Linked DNA regions of Sus scrofa. The protein of the gene in region 3 interacts with the protein of the main gene of each other region in a biochemical or structural test. Links are inferred from orthologs where the notes say so. Each region holds a gene or a part of one and is shown on either strand. Other genes may lie near its edges.

Region 1 (3,474 bases), about 5.4 Mb from region 3:
GAGTTGCTCTGGCCATCCCCATTCACAATCTTATTCATTCTCCGATTTTGAGGACTTACTACCAGCCTGGCACTGCAAATGGCCCCAGAAATAGGTAAATTCAAAAGGCACCGCTTCTGAAGTGCTCTCAGGGACAGAGACGCATTAAATGACTATTCATAGCACGAGGAGAAGTAACAGGGTTGTGCACAAAGCGTCAGGGAAGACAAAGGGTGGAGTGACTAGCTGGGCAGGTGGATGAGACAGGCTCTGACCTCTGGGACCTTGTGGCAAGTGGGGAGACAAGCATGATTCGTTAGGCTTGAAAAGAAGCCTGACAGACATAAAACTATGTGCTCTGAAGAGACATGGCTGGAGTGCACTCCAGGAGTGAATGAGTGGCAATAACTGAAAAAAGCAAAGTCCTGACCACAGGACATTGGAATGAAATAGGTATGTGAGCACCTATTCAATCCTAACAACAACCCTGTGAAAGAGTGTTTATTGCCTGCTTTTTCCATGGGGAAATCAGTGCTCAGGAAGATGAAGTGACTTTCCTCTGCTAACACGTTGAGGGGTTAGGTATCCAAAGAAGGTTTCTTAACCCCAGATCCAGTGCAGGGTTCTTTTCATTACACTGATTTAGTGGAGAGAACACACACACACACACACACACACACACACACACACACACTTCTAAAGTGTGGCTGGGGTGATCTGAGAAGGTCTCAAGGAGACAGTGGTACCCATGCCAGCCCAGAAGAGTAGGCAGGGAGCAGAATGATCTGTGGGGAGAGAAATGGGGAGGGATCAAATCAGAAGTTTAACACCCTCTCTAGGGGACACCTCTAACCCTACCAGGAAGATCGGGGAAACTTCCTAGAGGGGGTGACATGTGATAGATGTGCACAGGTGTACACAGGAGCTCACCGGAAGTGAGCTCAAGAACAGAGCTAACTTCACAGCTAGTTGACCTGGAGGTGGACACTAGTGGGCAAGTACAGTGCAGTGCAGAGCCCTGTCTGGCACATGCTCAAGAGGGGCTTGTGCTGCCTTGTGGGGACAGATGATTTATGCCATTTGACCCATTCTCATCTAAGAAGATTAAATAATTTTTTTAAAAGACACACTTAAAAATGAAAGAGAAAGAGGGGTAAGGAAGGAAGGATGGAAGGGTGACTGGCTTAGTGAGGGGTCAAGTTTGGATTCTATTTTTGGTCCAAGTTTTGCGACTATAGGCCCTTAGTTAATTTTCTGTGGCTCACTTTTCTTATTTGCGATTGAGAGATGATAAACCCTAACCTAACTCCCAGACTAACAAGAAACTAGAAGTGAGCGTGTTTGAAAACATCACCCCCGCAAAGAGGAACCATTATCAGTACTGCATCTATATGTGCACACGAGTGGCTGAATAGATGGACTGGCTAGAGGTGATCCCAGAGCCGTACACTGTTTTGGCCAAACAGTGCTTTGTGGATTTTCAGTCACCAGATCTCAGAGCTGGCCCAGTGCTGCTGTCTGAAGAGGGTGTTTTCAGTGCTGAGGCTTCAAGACAAGTCCCCAGCAGCCTGCCCTCTCCCTTCCCAAGCTGTTGGGCAGGACACTGCTGGGAGGTATCAAACTGCCCTCCAGCCAGCCCGGTGCACACTTGTGCACACTTATCACCTGACCACGGCTGCCTTGCTGGCAGGTAGAGAACACAAGGGGTTCTGTAAACAGCACTGCTGAACTCATACCACACTATGGGGCAGAATTTCAGGGGCTCTGTCCCTTCCCGGAAAGGCCCACCCCCTATATGGAGTCTGAGCCCGGACAAACAGGTTGTCTGAGCCAGCCCTATTTAAGCCTGGTGTCCCAGTGCAACTGTTGTAGCAGTACCTTTCACTCTCAGAAGTGTCCTGGTTTGAATGGTCAATTCCCGGTCCCCTTGCCCTTCACCACCAGGAGAAGCCTCCTCGTCATCCTCTTGGGAGGGCAACTCCGAGGAACCCAGAAACTACCTCTGCCCAACCTGCAGCGCTCCATGGAATAACCCTCATTTCTGTGTCATTCCAGGTGCATAGCGTAATGTCCATGTTGTTCTACACTCTGATCACAGCTCTTCTGATCGGCGTACAGGCAGAACCGCACACCGAGAGCAATGTCCCAGCAGGACACGCCATCCCCCAAGCCCACTGGACTAAACTTCAGCATTCCCTTGACACAGCCCTCCGCAGAGCCCACAGTGCCCCGGCTGGGGCGATAGCCGCCAGGGTGGCAGGGCAGACCCGCAACATCACTGTGGACCCCAAACTTTTTAAAAAGCGGCGACTGCGTTCACCCCGAGTGCTGTTTAGCACCCAGCCCCCGCCTGTGGCCGCAGACACTCAGGATCCGGACTTGGAGGCCAGCGGCGCCGCCTCCTTCAACAGGACTCACAGGAGCAAGCGGTCGTCATCCCACCCCGTTTTCCACCGGGGGGAGTTCTCGGTGTGCGACAGCGTCAGCGTGTGGGTGGGGGACAAGACCACTGCCACGGACATCAAGGGCAAGGAGGTGATGGTGTTGGGAGAGGTGAATATCAACAACAGCGTGTTTAAACAGTACTTTTTTGAGACCAAGTGCCGGGACCCCAATCCCGTGGACAGCGGGTGCCGGGGCATCGACTCAAAGCACTGGAACTCGTATTGTACCACAACCCACACCTTTGTCAAGGCGCTGACCATGGACGGCAAGCAGGCTGCCTGGCGGTTTATCCGAATCGACACGGCCTGCGTGTGCGTGCTCAGCAGGAAGGCGGGGAGAAGAGCCTGACCTGCAAGCCAGCCCCCACCTCCCCCAGCTCCCCACCCACACTCTCCTGCGCCCCTCCCTACCTCAGCCTGTAAATTATTTTAAATTATAAGGACTGCATGGTAATTTATAGTTTATACAGTTTTAAAAATCATTATTTATTAAATTTTTGGAAGCAGCCTGTGTGCCAGCCCTCCCTCATTTTGCCCAGCATGACCATCTGCCAGTCTTGGGACGGAAGCTGCAGGGAGACGGGTCCACAGCAGGCCCGGCTCCCTCTCAGGCCCTCCTGGAGCCCTCACCCTCCCGGCGCCCGCAGCCAGCCCTGCCACTTCAGGGAAGGCTAACCAGGCTCCGATATTAGCCTAAGCCCGGCGTGATTAGGAAGGGAAGGGAAGTCTGTGGGACTGCAACTTTGCTCCGCATTCCAGAGCCAAAGCTACCTAATCCTTGGATTACCTGCCCCACAGCCTAGATTCTTCAGCCTTGATTGCCTCACTGGGGAAGTTTGTGGAGCTTCATCAGAAGGCAGATCCCTGCTGGGCACAGGGCTGCCCCCAACCTCAGAGAAGCCCAGGCTGGGTCCTATCTATCCGGCTCACTAGATAGACAGGAGGAGACTCGCACTGAAGACCTGTGAGGCTGGCTCGCTTTTTAGGGGGAGGTCTGCTTTTGGCTGAAAAGCGCTCTGCAAGAGTTGTAACAAAATCATCTCATGGGGCC
Region 2 (4,009 bases), on a different chromosome or scaffold from region 3:
AGGCGCCTAGGAGGTGCACTTCAATCGTTTGCCTTAGTTTTTATTCACTTTCCAGCCATCTGATTGATACTGCCAACATCTCTGCAACATACAAATGAATCTTTTATCAACCAGAATACAGATGGACGGAATTCTTTCCCCATCCCTACACCCTGTGGAACTAAAGAACAAAACAAAACAAAACAAAACAAACAAACAAAAAAAGAAACACAAAACAAACAAAAATAAACCCCTCCCATCCCCCATCCCCTAAGCCAGTAAAGCGATGACAACAGCACCTTGACATTGTTTTAATTCCAACGCTATCAGAAGTTAAAAGCAGTAAAACAGAGTACCAACAAGAACAAAGATACTTACTGTCTAAAATGTAAACGGAATGTTTTGGTTCAAATTTTTGTTAGGCTTTTTTTTTTTTTCTTTCGCTTTTTTTTTATGTCTGTTTTCTGTAAGAGGACAGTTTGTTATCAATTCACAATTAAAGCAGCATGCAATTTATTAGTAGTATTTTTTAAACTTTTTTTTTCTTTAACGTTTTTCAATTCTTGGCAACGGCAACAAACCACAACATTATCGAGGAATGTAATGCAGACTTTTTTTTTAAAGTTGTGCGCAAAAAATGACTGTTTCCCTCTGGTCATGGAAATGTCCAATAAATAGATTGTAGAACCACTGTACTGTATAAACTTCATTTATACATGCAGTTCATAAAATTATTTTTTTTCTTAACTGAATAATTTACCCTGTTATGTATATATACAAATAGATAATTTTTGTCTCAATATAATCTATACAACATAAAGCCACTATCTTCCCCTCTTAATGGTCAAAGTACATACACAGGAAGTGTCTATCCTTATGAACCGCCAGCCAATTCGCTTTTTGCTATCCATGGTGAGGGCCCGCACATACGACTGGGTAGTTCGGCACTGGGAGTTCCAGTGCCTCTTGTCTATGCCCCTGCAGCCCTCCTTTGTGTACCCCATAGGATTGCACTTGGTCTCGTAGAAGTACTGCTTCAGTTGGCCTTTCGAGACGGGGACTTTTTCGAGGACCGTGACCGTGCCACCCGACATGTCCACTGCCGTCTTTTTATCCGCCGCCGTCACCCACTCGCTAATGCTGTCGCACACGCTCAGCTCCCCGCGGCGGGCGGGGTCCGAGTGGCGCCGGACCCTCATGGACATGTTTGCAGCATCCAGGTAATTTTTGTATTCCTCCAGCAGAAAGAGAAGAGGAGGCTCCAAAGGCACTTGACTGCTGAGCATGACTCGGGACGTATACATGTCCGCGTCCTTATTGTTTTCCTCATTGGGCCGAACTTTCTGGTCCTCGTCCAACAGCTCCTCGATCACGTGTTCAAAAGTGTCCGCCAACGACGACGATGACGACGATGTCAGGCCTCTTGAACCTGCCTTGGGCCCATTCACGCTCTCCAGAGTCCCATGGGTCCGCACACCTGGGTAGGCCAAGCTGCCTTGTCCTCGGACGTTGGCTTCTTTCATGGGGGCAGCCTTCATGCAACCGAAGTATGAAATAACCATAGTAAGGAAAAGGATGGTCATCACTCTTCTCACCTGGTGGAACTGTAGGGAGAAAGCAGAAACAGGACACAAGACTGTTTAGGGCTTGCTTGCTTGCTTTCCCAAGGGGACGAGGCAGCCCTCTGACTGCAGTTCCAGGCCATTCTGCAGGGTCAAGGTTTCTGACGCATTGGTGAGAAACTCCAGCTGCACCAGACACAGGTTAATGTCAGTAGTGTGCTAGATGGGCTTTAACATAAACCAGAGACGTGCAGCCTTGGCCCCAAGCTCTAGCGTATAAGCCCGAGATCAGATGGCTCCTGAGCAAGTGGAAAAAAAAACTGCGGCTTCAACTTTGCCTCCTTCCGCCCACTTGAGCAGCTTTGTAAGTTTAATTTTTAATGCTCTCTGCTCAGGCTGTCACAGGAAACGCAACATCAGAAATGTTACCAAGCATCAAGGGTAATAGTAATTCTTCAAGTCGGCAACATGGCCCAATGGCAGGTACGTGTGGAGGGAACAGCGGTGGCCTGTGGGGTCTGAAGTGGGCCTTTCTAGCTACAGGCTATCTAGGTGTGAACAGTACAATAAAACAGAAGTCAGGGAGTTGCATGGTGCCTTCCCATTGACCTTTTTTCCTCCCAGAGAGACACTCTATTGCAACAAAGGAGAAAGATGATTTCATTAAGCATCCTGGTTTGTCAGTAAGGAAACCAAAGGCCATGGAGGACTTGCCTCCTGTCATGAAGAAAGTTCCTGTTAGGATCAGGGCTCCCAATTCCAGCTCCAGTGTTTTTTCTACTACACCTGGGTGGTTATCGTGACAGTAAGTTTTGCTTATTTCCAAACAGAAATCATTTTCCACACGTTGGTTTTAATGATGTGTCCATGCCTGGGGCTGATACCATGAAAGCAACGTGTTTGCTTAAGAAAGAATTGGAGAGGACAGCATCAAAAACCTGGGGAGGCAATTTCAAATGCCTGCCATATGGGCATTGGTGGTTAACTCCACTAACTCTAGGCCTCTTGGCCCTGGCTCAAACACAAACCCATCTAGGAGAGCTCTGCCTCTCTTTTTATTGGACTGTGACCTGTGTGCACGTGTGTGTGGGCTCTGCGTTGATCGTACCTTGAAAAAGCTGAATGGCACTGTGCACATTTTGGTACAGGCAGCTGGCGCTTCTTTCTGGGCTTTTGAAGTTTTCTGGGAAGTCCCTTAACAGCACACCACAAAATTAATCTTCTCCTGTTTGCCAGAGGGAATCTCTACACTAAATTTGGCTCTTTGTCTACAAGCATGCTGTGGGAAGCCAATTCGAAGGAATGAACAGGAAAGATGAAAACATACCTACAGACCCACACAAGGTTACTGCTGGATGGTGAAGGACTTCAGAAGCACTTACCTGAGGCATCACGTCCCTGAGGAGTAAAGGGGAGCATTCCCTGCCCCAACACTAACTTTATTCCTACCGCTCAGTCCTAGGCAAGGACTAAACAAAAAACCACGTGCGTGCCAGAGCTGTTATGCTGTACCAACCAGCAGGAAAGGGGACTGTCTTCCTGTCCACGAAGTGTCACCCGCCAGGAAGGGAACCTACCTGCAGTCAGGAGGTCTTACTGCAGAAAGGGCTGAAACTCTGGGAGCAAGACCCCCGTTTTCCTCTCCACTTTTATCAGAGATCACATTTTCTCCCACTACGGGACTTGATTACTGCCCCCAAACACCAGCCAATTTCCTTCTGGATTCACGCTTACTTGGCACAAACAGCAAGCATGTGCAGAACTGCTTGGAGCATACAGTCTGAGATGAGGAAGGTTTGAGATGAGGAAGCGCACGCTGGTGTGAATAAAACAGATATAACACAGATATCCATTCTGCCAACACCTGAACTTTTGCGAAGGGTTTGGATTCTTCACCATCAAAGAAATGGATCCTCCAAGGATGTTTCTCTTCCTGGCAGGCAGTATTTACACCACTGACAGAAAACCCTTTCTCCTAGTGTTTCCCGTCCAAATTAAAACAACCCAAGGGGCACCTCAAATGCAAGTCGGTGAAAAGCAGCAAATTTAGAATATTTTACTCTAGGATTTTACATCATGCTGGTAAGAGAGTTGCTGTGATCAGCTATCTTTTAATATCACATTTCATGAAATCTATGATACCATCCTTATAAAGCACACCATTTTATGCACCACTAAGATTTTTTAAAATGCAGCCTGTTAAACTATTGCTTTCTTTAATCACTTAGAACTGGAAAGAATTCTTTTAGACTTATTTGAACATATTTTTTCAGATGTAACTTTTGTGCACGTGTAAAAAAGAAAATTAAGCAAAGAAAATTGGTTAAGGCAATGACAACTGTGATGTAACTGTCTAGCCAATGACAATAAAATAACATCATTTTAAGATGTTCCAGATACAAGTCAATTTCAGAAATGTTAAAAAAAAAAGAGTAAGAAAACATGCACCTTAGAATCAATGAAACAGA
Region 3 (4,172 bases):
GCTCAGATGCCATTTAAAAATACCTTTAACTTGTCACCTCTCGCTATGGTTGTTCTGACAAAATGTAAATTTATAAATGTAAAAAATGTAAGTCGTTGCAAATTAACACAACCAGAAGGATTTTAATGTAAGCCTTGGGTTGGGTGCCCTGCACCATTCATTTTGCTCTACAATGAATATATTCTCATTTGGATTTACCTCCAGTTTATAATTAAAAGTAGTTGTTAGCTGCTTTATTTAGGTGTAACATTTTGTATACTTCATATCTTCCTACTTATTACCTTTTCTACTGAGCAACTTCTAGCATTCCAAAGAGTCAATAAGGAGGATATCTAAAACTGGTTTTACTTCCACTGTGTGTTCCAGAATAATGTGCCTCTCCTTCCTGCGATAAACGGAACAGTGTAGGGGTTTTGTTTTATTTACTGGAGACAGGATGCTAATTTAAGGGACATCATATACCGAACACCAAACTTGTGCAATGCACTCACTGCAGGGTTAAAACACTTTGGTAAAGACAGATACGCATCTATACAATGATCATCTCTCAATTAGGCACTGGGCAATTCTGTCCCCCTTTTACCTGTCCCTTATGTCTAAGCTACTTTCTAACTCCAGGAAAACCAATAGGCAGTTCCTCCTTTGGTTAACTCCCTGCAGAAGAGGAAGATGAGTGAGGAGAGAATTTTCTTCGGGCTCGCATGAGTCACGGATGTCCTAATGTCTATCTGCCTCCGCGAGATTTAGCCCACACAGCTCTCACTCACTGTAGACAAATGGGGCACTCCAACCCTGCAAGGGTTAAAAGCCAGACGCACCGGTTAATGACAGAGCCCCCATTTCCAGCTAAGCGAGCTCAGGGATTCCCTGAGGAGATTTTCCAGGCGCTGCAGCAACCCAAGGAATTTTAAGGGTGTCTCTGGGGAAGAAGGGACCAATTCAGCCCCAACTTGAGGGTGCCAGAGGGAGGAGCTAGGGGTCGGGGCCCCACGGAGTTGGGGGCTTCTCGAGAAGGAGGGAAGCTCCCCATGCTAACTCTGGAAGCCCGGCCTGGGAGACGCCGGGCGATGGGGGGATGACCTCAGCGGTCTCTGCCACGTTCCAGCCAATCAGCCCCGCATCTTGGCATCCGAATCCAGGACCCCCTAAGCAGGAGGCGCCGCGAGCCAATCAGCAGTGGACCGGGGAAGAAAGACAGGCGGCCAGCCTATGGGCGGAGAGGTCTGGCTTGGCGTATCCAGGGAGCGCCGGCTCCAGCAAGGGGGGGGAAGGTGGGCGGCGCCGGCGGGGGTGGGCGGGCGCGCCGGGCGGCAGGTGTCGACGGCGTCGGCATTCGGCGGCGATGGAGCGGCCCCGGGGAGCTGCGCAGGGCCTCTCGCGCTGGCCCCACGGCCTCGGCCTCCTTCTCCTCCTCCTCCTCCAGCTGCTGCCGCCGGCAAGCCTCGGCCAGGACCGGCTGGACGCGCCGCCGCCGCCCGCTGCGCCGCTGTCGCGCTGGTCCGGCCCCGTCGGGGTGAGCTGGGGGCTGCGCGCGGCCGCGCCTGGGGGCCCGGTTCCCCGCGGCGGCCGTTGGCGCCGCAGCGCGCTCGATGAGGACGAGGACTGCGGCGGGGTCCGGGACTTCGTCGCCAGGCTGGCCAACAACACACACCAGGTGAGCGGGCGCCGGGCCGGGGCACCGCCCGGACTGTGAGGTGCTGCCCCCGGGCCCCTGGCGGCCGCCCGCCCCGCCAGCGCAGCCCGGCCCTCTGTCTTGTCCGTGCGCCTCGCGTCCCCGCGGAGGAGACCCCGGCTGCTCGCCAGCCCCGCTGGCCCGCGCTCCCCCGGCCGCAGCCCCGAAACTGCGGCTGGCCGGCGGGCGGGCCGAGTTGGGCCCGGGGAGCTGCCCTCAGATGCCGCGGCCGAGCATGTTTCGTCACAGGGGAGGCAGGCTTTGACTTTCACGGGATTCTTTTTTTTTTTAATTTTTTTTTTACTTTTATTTTTCTGTTTAATTGTCAAAATCTCTCGAGCGTCGTTGTTTTCCGTCTGTATAAATAATTAGGATCCAGTAACGCTATACCCCACCAGGAAGCTGGAGGAGTAATTACCTCTTAAGTGCTTGGAGAAGTTGGGCTACGCAGAAGCAAAGGTGTGTCTTCGCCGGGTCAGTACTTTCTGGGTGGGTAGGCGGGTGTTCAGTAATCCCAGAGCAGTTATTAGATTACTGTGTGTTTTAACGGCTAAAGGAACAAGCTTGGCAGTGGGGTTGATAGTACGTATATGATCTCTCTTACGCCTTCGATTTGACCTTCTGTCATGGCATTGGACTGTATCCCATTGTAACAAGATTTCCAACACTTAACACGTTGCAGATATTCTGCTTTGAGTTAGGTCCTCGTCGAAAACTTTAAAAATTATGGCAGTTCTGTCTCTGGGGATAAGCAGCTCAACCTTTGCATAGTACTACTGGTTGACAAAGCCAGTTGTTGGCTATGTCCTGGCTCCTTGCACCTTGGGCGTCTTCCTCATTTTTTTTTTTTTTCTTCCTAGAACTAGCGATTTAATTGCTACCCACATTTGCGTAATATATTTACAATTGAATATATTTTCTCTCTTCTATCCATCCCTCCTTCCTTCCTCTTTCAAGGAGAGTTGCACATGGGGACAGAAGTGAGTGGTTAACTGCACTTGTCCTTTTAGAACCACATGCTGTAATAGCCAAATCCCCCCTTGAACTGTCTTTCTCCCTCTGCCTGGATTATACTTATTACCTGTGCAGAATTCTCTGGTCTGGGGACCCAGGGCAGTTGCAGTCAAAGCACAAGCTGTCAGGGATAACTCTTGCTAAATGCAGTCCAAGCAGCAGCTGCATAAAAGTGGCCAAGCTAGTGCTGACGTGTGGGACAGTTTGGGTGCACACAGAGTGGAATGAGAACTGAGAAGTCTTCCTGTTTGACAATAAAAAAAAACTTACAGACTTCCATCTCAGTGGGGAGTTGAGAAAGGCTTTATAACACTAGCGCCTCATTTATAATGAGACCATTTCCTTCCTTGAGCCAGCTGGACACAGCATTCCTACTCCACATTTCAGATTCTTCTCTTGCTAGCTGACCTACCTTTAGGACCTGCTGCTACTCCTGGATTTATTCCTTTAGTCAGAGTCTTCCCTGTTTGGTTTGAATTGATATGTCATTTGTAATGCATTAATTTCTAGAAGTTGAAAAAAAAATGGCTCAAGTAGGTTCTTAGAACAAATCCACTCAAGAGCAGATCTGAATGAAACCTCATTCTTTGAAGTCCATATGTTAAAAAAAAAAAAAGTCTTCCCTCTTTTTCTTTCATTTTATTTAGCTGCTGTTTCCAGTGATTTTTTTTAAACTTATTTTTTTAGCCTTCTTTCAGTGACCTCATTTAAAAGAATTGCTTTTGCATTTCTTAATCATCCATGGTTTCCTCAGAGATTCCATCTTTTTTGTAGCATGTATATGTGGAAAAAGTGAAGCCACTATCAACAGTCTTCATCTTAGAAATGGTTGAATAAAGCAGTTCTTAGTGGTGCACCCCCTTAACCAAGAATTTTTATGTTGTAGTCGGTTCTGCTTTTCCACTCTATGTTTTTAGAAGCCGTAATAAATCATCCTGAACTCTATTGAAGAGATCCAGTGTTGGGGGATCCTTTATAAACTGTGAAATAAAAATATCAGCATGACTTTGTATTAGACATAGTGTATACTTTTGTAAGCTGGGAAAACGCCTTTTAGAGTAGTTTTTCATAAAATGACAGGATTCAATTCCCCAAAAAATGAAAAGTTCTTGCTTCTCTTCTTCTCTGTTAGAACTCGCTGTGCATGTCAAGCCACCTTACTTCATGTAGTCAGTGTACCTGGGTGCCCTCCAGATGTCCAAGATGTGCTAGATACTCGGGGTGCCAAGGTAGAAAGACGAGATAATTCAACTGGAGAACGAAGAGCCTCAAAAGGCTTTAGCAAATCTAGACCTATTTCTGTGGCTTATGTGGCGTGTGAGAATATGTTGGTGTTTAACTAAACTTCTTCTTTTTTTCTTTTTTCTTTTTTTTTTTTTTTTTTGTCTTTTTGCCATTTCTTGGGCCGCTCCTGCGGCATATGGAGGTTCCCAGGCTGGGGTCAAATGAGAGCTGTAGCTGCCGGCCTACACCAGAGCCACAGCAA

Evidence for each region. The genes of interacting proteins can lie anywhere in the genome.
Region 1: the proteins of SORT1 (region 3) and NGF form a complex in vitro, tested with the Homo sapiens proteins (3 studies listed by BioGRID and IntAct, with this or other methods). The link is inferred for Sus scrofa from reciprocal best matches to the Homo sapiens genes SORT1 and NGF.
Region 2: the proteins of SORT1 (region 3) and BDNF form a complex in vitro, tested with the Homo sapiens proteins (2 studies listed by BioGRID and IntAct, with this or other methods). The link is inferred for Sus scrofa from reciprocal best matches to the Homo sapiens genes SORT1 and BDNF.

The regions. Positions count from the first base shown.
Region 1 is NC_010446.5:105,304,915-105,308,388, forward strand, and holds the end of NGF (beta-nerve growth factor), read left to right. Parts: intron 1-2,034; 5' UTR 2,035-2,046; coding exon 2,047-2,772; 3' UTR 2,773-2,929; downstream 2,930-3,474. UniProt on the Homo sapiens protein: Nerve growth factor is important for the development and maintenance of the sympathetic and sensory nervous systems.
Region 2 is NC_010444.4:32,675,559-32,679,567, reverse strand, and holds the end of BDNF (brain-derived neurotrophic factor precursor), read right to left. Parts: intron 1,584-4,009; coding exon of another isoform or gene 1,563-1,583; coding exon 804-1,562; 3' UTR 546-803; downstream 1-545. UniProt on the Homo sapiens protein: Important signaling molecule that activates signaling cascades downstream of NTRK2. During development, promotes the survival and differentiation of selected neuronal populations of the peripheral and central nervous systems.
Region 3 is NC_010446.5:110,719,872-110,724,043, forward strand, and holds the start of SORT1 (sortilin), read left to right. Parts: upstream 1-1,273; 5' UTR 1,274-1,342; coding exon 1,343-1,654; intron 1,655-4,172.